2 linked regions of the Drosophila melanogaster genome follow. The protein of the gene in region 1 interacts with the protein of each later gene in a pairwise test. Each region holds a gene or a part of one and is shown in the gene's direction. Other genes may lie near its edges. The genes, in order: dnd and PrBP.

Region 1 (4,302 bases):
TTGACCATGGCCCACAGAGAACATCATCCACAGTAGGGTTCATCGTGATACCTTCCAGGGCCTGAAAAGCATCCACATAGGACAGGTCTTGGAGCTGCCTGCCAAGTTGACCGTGCTTGCACCAACCACTGACCCATAGCCGCCCGCATCGGCGGATCAGCAGAGTGTGACGAGATCCAGCAAACACCCTCAGCGGTGCGCAATCATCGTTGCTCTCCCCGCTTTGGGAGCAGGCACATTCGGGCAGATCTTGCAACTGGGGCAGCGGAAATACAGTGGGCTCTTTGAGGACGCCACCGGGTTTCATCACACGCAATCCCAGCTGACCGCTGCAGTTGAGGCCCCAGGTGTAGAGGTCTCCAAAGGCGGATATGGCCGCACTGTGCCAACCACCGGCAGCAATTTGAGTTATCTGCAAGGCACTTGAATGTGTGACAGACAAGATAAGTGGACAAGTCAAATATATATATACCTTGATCCCCGCCAGCGCCTCCAGCAATTGAGGCGTCTCCTCCACTCTCAGTTCCGCCAGACCCAACTGTCCGCGTCTGTTAATTATGACATAGAAGTGAAAAAAATTGTTAGGAATTAGAATAAGAAACTCGCTAATATCTAAATATCTTAAAACCAGAATATGTAAATATTTATAGGCTGCATTTCTGCACAGCCAACGCATTCATTATGACCTTTACTTACAGTCCATTTCCCCAGGTGAACACGTCGCCATTGGCATTGAGGAGCACGGCATGTTCATGGCCGCATTGGAGCTGCTTCACCCGAAATTGGCGCTCGGAAAACTGATGCAGGCAGCTGGGAATGCTGTAGACACAGTTTTCCGAACTTATCGCTACGTTTATGTGCGATCCACATGCAATATGCTCTATGATCGGCGACGAAGGCGCCTTGGCAGCCCCAAAGATAGAGCGCTTTGTACCCGAATTGGATCTGGGAGCAGCTTCTAGTCTAACAGCCACCAGTTCCGCTTGCAGTTTTGGTTGCACCCTGTAAAGCTGACCGCTTTGGAGTAGCACCAGGCAGTGGGAATCGGCAGCGGCAAGGGCCCTTATGTTCCCCGTTGCTTCCAGGGTCACGCACTCATTTGGGCCATCATCCAAGAGCCCACGCAGGCACAACTTCCGGCCAAAAGCGAGGGCCGCATACCGCCAGCCGATCGAAATCGTGCACTGGTTCTGAGTCGAGACTGGCGCATTTAATTCTGTAATAAAGGCAGAACTGAATTAGTACACATACATACATACGGTGGAAGCCCCCTAAAAAGATTTTGTCTAAGTTATTAGTTTATCAATTTCATTGCTATGTATGTATTTGGCCAATCAAAAAATGCAGTTGGCACCAAGTACCGATGTGTAATTTACCCTATAACTGTCAATTAAAATGCAGTCTATATCCAATGCATGAATATGAATATGCAAAGAATTTTATGGATTAATGTCCTACGTATATATTCACCTGAAAATCACTATACTCTATTTTAAACATGAAATCTTAAAAATTCATCTGGCTTAAATCGGATTCAGTTTTATAAGATAGAATTAGAATTGTAAAAATGGTATAAGCTGCATGCATCCCAGCGAGTTCTATAGCGAGTGCCTACTGTAGCAACTAAGTGATCGGCGGCTTTTGTTGCCGGTTACAAACCGCTGAAGCCGGCTGCGCAGTCGACGTCGCCGCTTACACATTCATGCTGGCCAAATGCGTTGAAGCCCGTAAATAGCAGCGGCATCTTCTTCCCGTTCCCGTTCCAATTCGAATACCGCTCGACCCGCACCCCCACCACGTCCCCCGTCTAACAATCCTTTGCAGCGGTTGCTCGGCGACCGTTGGCGCTGTTGTTGTTGCTGTCGGAATTTGTTAGAGCGTTGAGCGAATTTTGTTTTCAGTAGTTGTGCAGCGACGAGCCAGTGATGTTGTGTTTGGTGGTTGAAGTTGATCCAATTCTCAAGTTATCCGACTTTTCCTGAGTTGACCACCAGAAGACACCGTCTTGGGCGGCCAGAGCAGATTGCCGAATCGGGGGGATACAGATACGGATATAGTGGTCGGAGATCGCACCGCCTCCTGGCTGTTATTCTCGCGTTAATTATACGATGGTAGGTTGTCTCCCGGTTCCGTAACAGCTAATTAAGTGCCTTGTTGTTCCGTAATTGCACGATTTGTTTTCATTTTGCGATCGTCGCCATGGAAACCCGCCTCAAAAACTATACAACACTTTTTTGTTAGAGCAGAACTTTTTTCAGCACTACTTCGAAAGTTTTAGGCGCGTAATTATCGGTATTCGAAAAAAAAAACCAAATTGGTGGTTCGGAAAACAAAGAAACATAATAAGCTTTTTGTAGCACACAATGGAAAAAAGAGTTCTTAATTTTTAAGTGAACATGGCAAATTTTTTTACCAATAAACATTTTTATTTCATTCAACCTTGTTGTCGTTTCTTTTGGCGAGCCCTTATCTCAATTCCAACAATATGTTTGTAAAGTTCACCTGTTGATAAGCTTTTTGCATTCTATCACTAAGAGAACGTTTTAATTGCAAGTTTTTTTTTTACAACTTTACATCGTCTTTATTGATAACAACATTGATAATAACAAAACATGTGTGTTTACAAGCATATGTTGCATTTATAAAAACACATATATTTATTAACAATTTTACAAGTTTATAAACTACCAAATGTAGATTGTTATTCAAAATTTCAAAGATAGACCAGAGGATACTACCGAGTCTAGACTAATACTGGTAATCAGGTGCTAGAATAACACACCTTCAAAAAACTAAGTAGAAAAAACAACAACTTAATAGCTTACAAATTTTAGGGTCTGCTATCGCTGTTGCGTAAACTGAGACCCAATCCGGAAAAGGAGGCTCGCATCCTGCTCCTAGGATTGGATAATGCTGGCAAGACCACGATACTGAAGCAGCTGGCATCGGAGGACATAACCACGGTGCGTATAAAGGCGGCGAACTTCTTCCGTTTTCCCCATAAAATACGGAGTGAAATCCCGCAGGTAACGCCCACGGCAGGATTTAACATCAAGTCCGTGGCAGCCGATGGTTTCAAACTGAATGTATGGGATATTGGTGGTCAATGGAAGATACGTCCATATTGGAAGAACTATTTTGCGAATACTGATGTGCTGGTAGGATTGTTATAGATCTAAACTCAATTCTGTTAGCTAATAGTTTCGATTATTTCAGATCTATGTAATTGACTGTACAGATCGGACTCGCCTGCCCGAGGCGGGTAGTGAACTATTCGAAATGCTCATGGACAATCGGTTGAAGCAAGTTCCCGTGCTGATTTTCGCTAACAAACAGGATATGCCGGATGCCATGAGTGCCGCCGAGGTGGCCGAGAAGATGAGCTTGGTGCAACTGCAGGGACGAACCTGGGAGATCAAGGCCTGTACCGCTGTGGATGGCACTGGACTAAAGGAGGGAATGGACTGGGTCTGCAAGAATATGAAGAAGTAATCTAAATTATAGTAATCGTCGCCTGTTAAGTTGTCCCTAAGAACTAAATATACGTACCTACATTTCAACTCACCAAAAGTATCACAATCTCTAATTGTTGGATGAATCTTCCTTTTTTCACGTGTATCTTTAAGTATAAACTGAATATATAGTTGAGAAGGCTATGCTAGTTAAATCATTCATTTTTACCTGACATCTAAACTGAAATCAAATTTCGATCCCCATGTGTTTTTACGGACCTGTTTCGTTCATAAAAAAGATCCTGCCCGCAGGCTCTCAGAAATCATGTCTGCTCATTTTAGGATTAGACAATGCGGGAAAATCCACGTTGACAGACCGCCTGGCGGAAATTTTCAATGGAGAAGTAAGGCCATATATGTGATGGTCCTATCTCCATTTGATAATGTTAGCATAAACTATTTGCAGTCCAAGGAATCTAACAATCAAGTTAGTGAATGGAGCTTCACCATAAATAATTTCAGAGTCCAGTTGTGGGATATTAACGGAGAACTGAAGAATCGCCAGATCTGGCCAAAGTATTATAAGAAAGTGAATGTTTTGGTGAGAGGAGAACTTATATAGAACTTATATAGACTCGACTACAATCCCTGAACCGTAGATTTTTGTACTGGATAGCACGGATGCACTGCGGCTAAGCGAGGCGCGATGTGTTTTATGCGATGTTTTGATGCACCAGGAACTGGATAATGCTCCGCTGCTGATCGTGTCCAACAAGAAGGACGCCTCGGGATCCCTGTCCATGTCCACGGTTATCGATTTGATGGGCCTATATCGCCTAACTGGTCGAGA
Region 2 (3,482 bases), on another chromosome or scaffold:
AAACAGGAGCCAGAGACTGGTTACTAGAAGAATAACGAACGGTGCAATATGCAGTTTGCAATAGGACACCCCTTAAGCACACAACCCATACACATACAGGCCCTCTCTTGCTGTACTCCCCACCAAGTGCTATATAGAGATGAAATTGAAATGAAGAACTTACTTAATTGTTATGCCTTGAACCATTTTGATACTTTTTATTAGTCCTAAGTAGGTATTTTGGAAATTGTTGCTTAATTTTTAATGTTTAACGCAGTTGCAATATATTTTTGGAGTCATATTTTGCTCAAGAAGTTTATTATATACAATTATACTATATATATACACCATTTAGCATGTACTGAGTTTGTTGGTTATTTGGTTATCTTATACTTGTGCGTGGATCACAAAACATTCATATAAGGCCATGCAATATATTGTTTTAGGTTAGGGTGTTGTCTAGATTATGCTGAAAGTGTAATATATATTTAATTTTAAACAAAGAACTATTTTTATATGAATATGTATAATATACAAACTATTTCTAAGATGGCTGAATGAATAAACAAAATCAAAATAAACACTGGAGAATATGAATGTAAATCGTTTACTGCGGCATTTTTACTAGTAATAAATATTACTATAATTTATAATTTATGCCATCTCTTTCAGCAACAACTTTAAATATCCAAACTGATAAAGCGATATATGTTCCTATGCTCCCACTTAGAACGTAACCCTGATCCTGCATAGAAAAAATTCAATAACGTATTACAAAGACTAACTAACGTTTATTTATCGATATTGCTAATGCCCGTCTTCTCGACCTGGGCGAGGAGCTCTTGGAGCTTGTTGTCGAAGAGCTCGCATCGAATGGGCATCTCCAGGGAGTAGAAGGGGTTCTTGAGCACGTAGTCTGAGTACAGCTCGTAAACCTTTCGCAGCAGCAGATCAATGCCATTGAGACCCGTTTCCGAGATTATAATGAACTTGATTCCGGTCAGCGTTTGGAAGCAGTGCAGCGTGAAAGTGTCCGCCTCTAGGATCTCGATGCCGGAACTCTTGGGCTCCGGACTCAGTTGGCTGGCGATGGCGAACAGCGGGTAGAACATGCTGGCCAGAAAGATTTTCTCGTTGGTGGTCATCTTTGGCCGGCTGAACTTCAGGTTAATGGGATAGTTCTCCGGTGCATCCAGTGTCGTCCTCACATCGCGTCCATCATCCAGGGTGACTCCATTGACGGGCATACCGTTGACCGCCACCAGGACATGGCCCACTGTTCGTAAGCATATATTAAGGTGGTTATGTTTCTAAAATTCACAGACACACCCACCATTTATTCCATCCTTTCTGTTGAACGAGACCGATACCTTCTTGGAATCGTAGTCCAGCACCAAGTCCAGAGGGTATGTAAAGGTCTTCTCGTGCTCAATGCGTGGCACATTGTTGTCCAGGTTGAATATAAGGCCACCCGATTTACTAACTATATAGACGCCATATATAATCATTTCTTACTATTACTAATTCTAAGTTTCCTAGGAATGTTTTTATATTTTATGCGAATTAGCGATGGTAGTGCCAGCCAGCTGTTTGCCGCGGAACCAGTTCCAGTTCCGGCTTAGTTGCCATTAACAGTACATTAACATTGCGCCTTAACAGTTGGGTCCATCGAAGAAATTATAATTATTAGGATAAATAAACCATTAAATTATTATAAGAAGCATTATTTAAAATTTAGGAATAAAATGGGAAGTAAACTCTTTAGCCAGAATACTAAGAATACTTAAAAAATATTTACAAGTTCAACCAAAAATCTAGTTCTACCAGGGCGGAGTAGCTCTTTAAACTGATTCCATCTTGCCTATCGCGTTCATTTAACTAGTTCACGGCCGAACAGCTGTCTCGGCATTAGAATTAAAAATAAACATAATTGATTTTCTGCCCGAAAGTATACGTAAACGCGTAGGCGCTCCCACCTGGCAGTGCACCCGATTGACCGACTTGCAACCTCCACGGCCACCGATGGGCTCCGACGACCAGAGTGCCGGGGACAGGATCCAGAAGGGATTCCAGATCAACTATATGATTCTGCGGGATGCCGACAGCGGAAAAATAATCTGGCAGGAGAACAAGGACTTCTCGGCACCGGACCAGGAGCATGAGGCCCGAGTGCCGGTGAAAATACTCGACATGCGTGCCGTTTCCCGGGAGATCAACTTCAGCACCATCGAGTCGATGGAGAACTTTCGCCTGGACCAGAAGGTGCTCTTCAAGGGCCGCATCATGGAGGAGTGGTTCTTTGAGATGGGATTCGTGGGTGCCAACACCACCAACACCTGGCAGTCGACAATCGAGGCGGCACCCGAATCCCAGATGATGCCTGCCAAGGTCTTGAACGGCAATGTGACTATCCAAACCAGTTTCTACGACAACGAGACACTCATCACCAAATCGGTTGTGCGCCTGTACTACATTTAGGCAAATGTGAGTCACCTGCCGTTCTGCTGATCGACCAGGTGTTCTCGCGTCCACCCACAAGTTTTTTTGGTTGTTCTTCAAGATGTTCTCTACAAAACATGCATACTTCGCTTTTGAGTACTTCAGCATTTCAATGCAATTGTTTGCGCGTTTATGAACTAGTTGTAGTCCAATGCATTTTAATCTAATCTAATTTTACGTTTACCACAGTAATATATTAATAAAAAATTAACAAATGTAATTTGCATAAACCAAGGAGTCTGTCAACTCGAATTCGAACGCAACATGCATGCTTATGTACAAATCTTTTGTAGACTGTCACATATGGACTAAAAATAGCTGCCGAACATTGTGTCATTTGAGATAAATTGTATCTATAGATCTCTGTACCAGTTGTAACCAATCCATAAAGTCTACTTAAGTCTGTTGAAGCTGTATGAGGAGTAATTCACTCATACAATCGAAAACGTTGTATTAGATATAGCCTAGCTGTACGCAATTTGTCAGCAAATATAAACAGATGTTAAAAGAAAGTTGTTATATGAACCATTTTAGGATACAGATGTCTGGCCCAAAGGAGATTAGCATAATGCAATATCTCATCGTGTGGAGATACTCAGTGAATCTTGCTCAGTGGGAGAAAATGCCCTAGGGGTCAATCGTAGAACAGGTTGCGCCTGGCTCTATTTTACTTTCATGTCAACGAGCATAATCCCATTTAGATCGCGGGCTTGCCTTTCGGCAATACATTGCCAAAGTTTGAATTTAGATTAGGTGTCGATGAATATTCAGCGATTGGAATCGCGAAAAGTAACCATGAAGTTAAGAGGAAGATTGGAGCGGAGAGTGCTAACTTGACCCCATTTTATTCGAAATAGAACCCGTGCCCGGTCAAGTGTCACTCGAAGATGGCGAGAAAGTCTTCTTGGCGGGCAAAGATCTCGGATAGCTTACAGTTCGCTTCCATCTACCCACAGCAGCGGATCGAAATAATATAATGGCGCGGTTTAGTGGAGTTGTACTGC

The links.
Region 2: the proteins of dnd (region 1) and PrBP interact in a two-hybrid assay, tested with the Drosophila melanogaster proteins (one large-scale study listed by BioGRID).

Annotation. Positions count from the first base shown.
Region 1 is NT_033777.3:21,884,949-21,889,250, reverse strand, and holds dnd (dead end), read left to right. Parts: upstream 1-1,895; 5' UTR 1,896-2,108; coding exon 2,109-2,111; exon of another isoform or gene 2,112-2,222; intron 2,223-2,834; coding exon 2,835-2,963; intron 2,964-3,026; coding exon 3,027-3,158; intron 3,159-3,216; coding exon 3,217-3,492; 3' UTR 3,493-3,575; downstream 3,576-4,302. Other genes in the region: CG6678 (uncharacterized protein), read right to left, coding at 1-412, 473-548, 697-1,216, 1,660-1,744; CG17819 (uncharacterized protein), read left to right, coding at 3,716-3,856, 3,919-4,053, 4,112-4,302.
Region 2 is NT_033779.5:8,684,323-8,687,804, reverse strand, and holds PrBP (Prenyl-binding protein), read left to right. Parts: upstream 1-1,849; 5' UTR 1,850-2,001; coding exon 2,002-2,457; 3' UTR 2,458-2,982; downstream 2,983-3,482. Other genes in the region: Hnf4 (hepatocyte nuclear factor 4), read left to right, coding at 1-27; Trs23 (TRAPP subunit 23), read right to left, coding at 771-1,255, 1,313-1,487; CG9289 (uncharacterized protein), read left to right, coding at 3,455-3,482.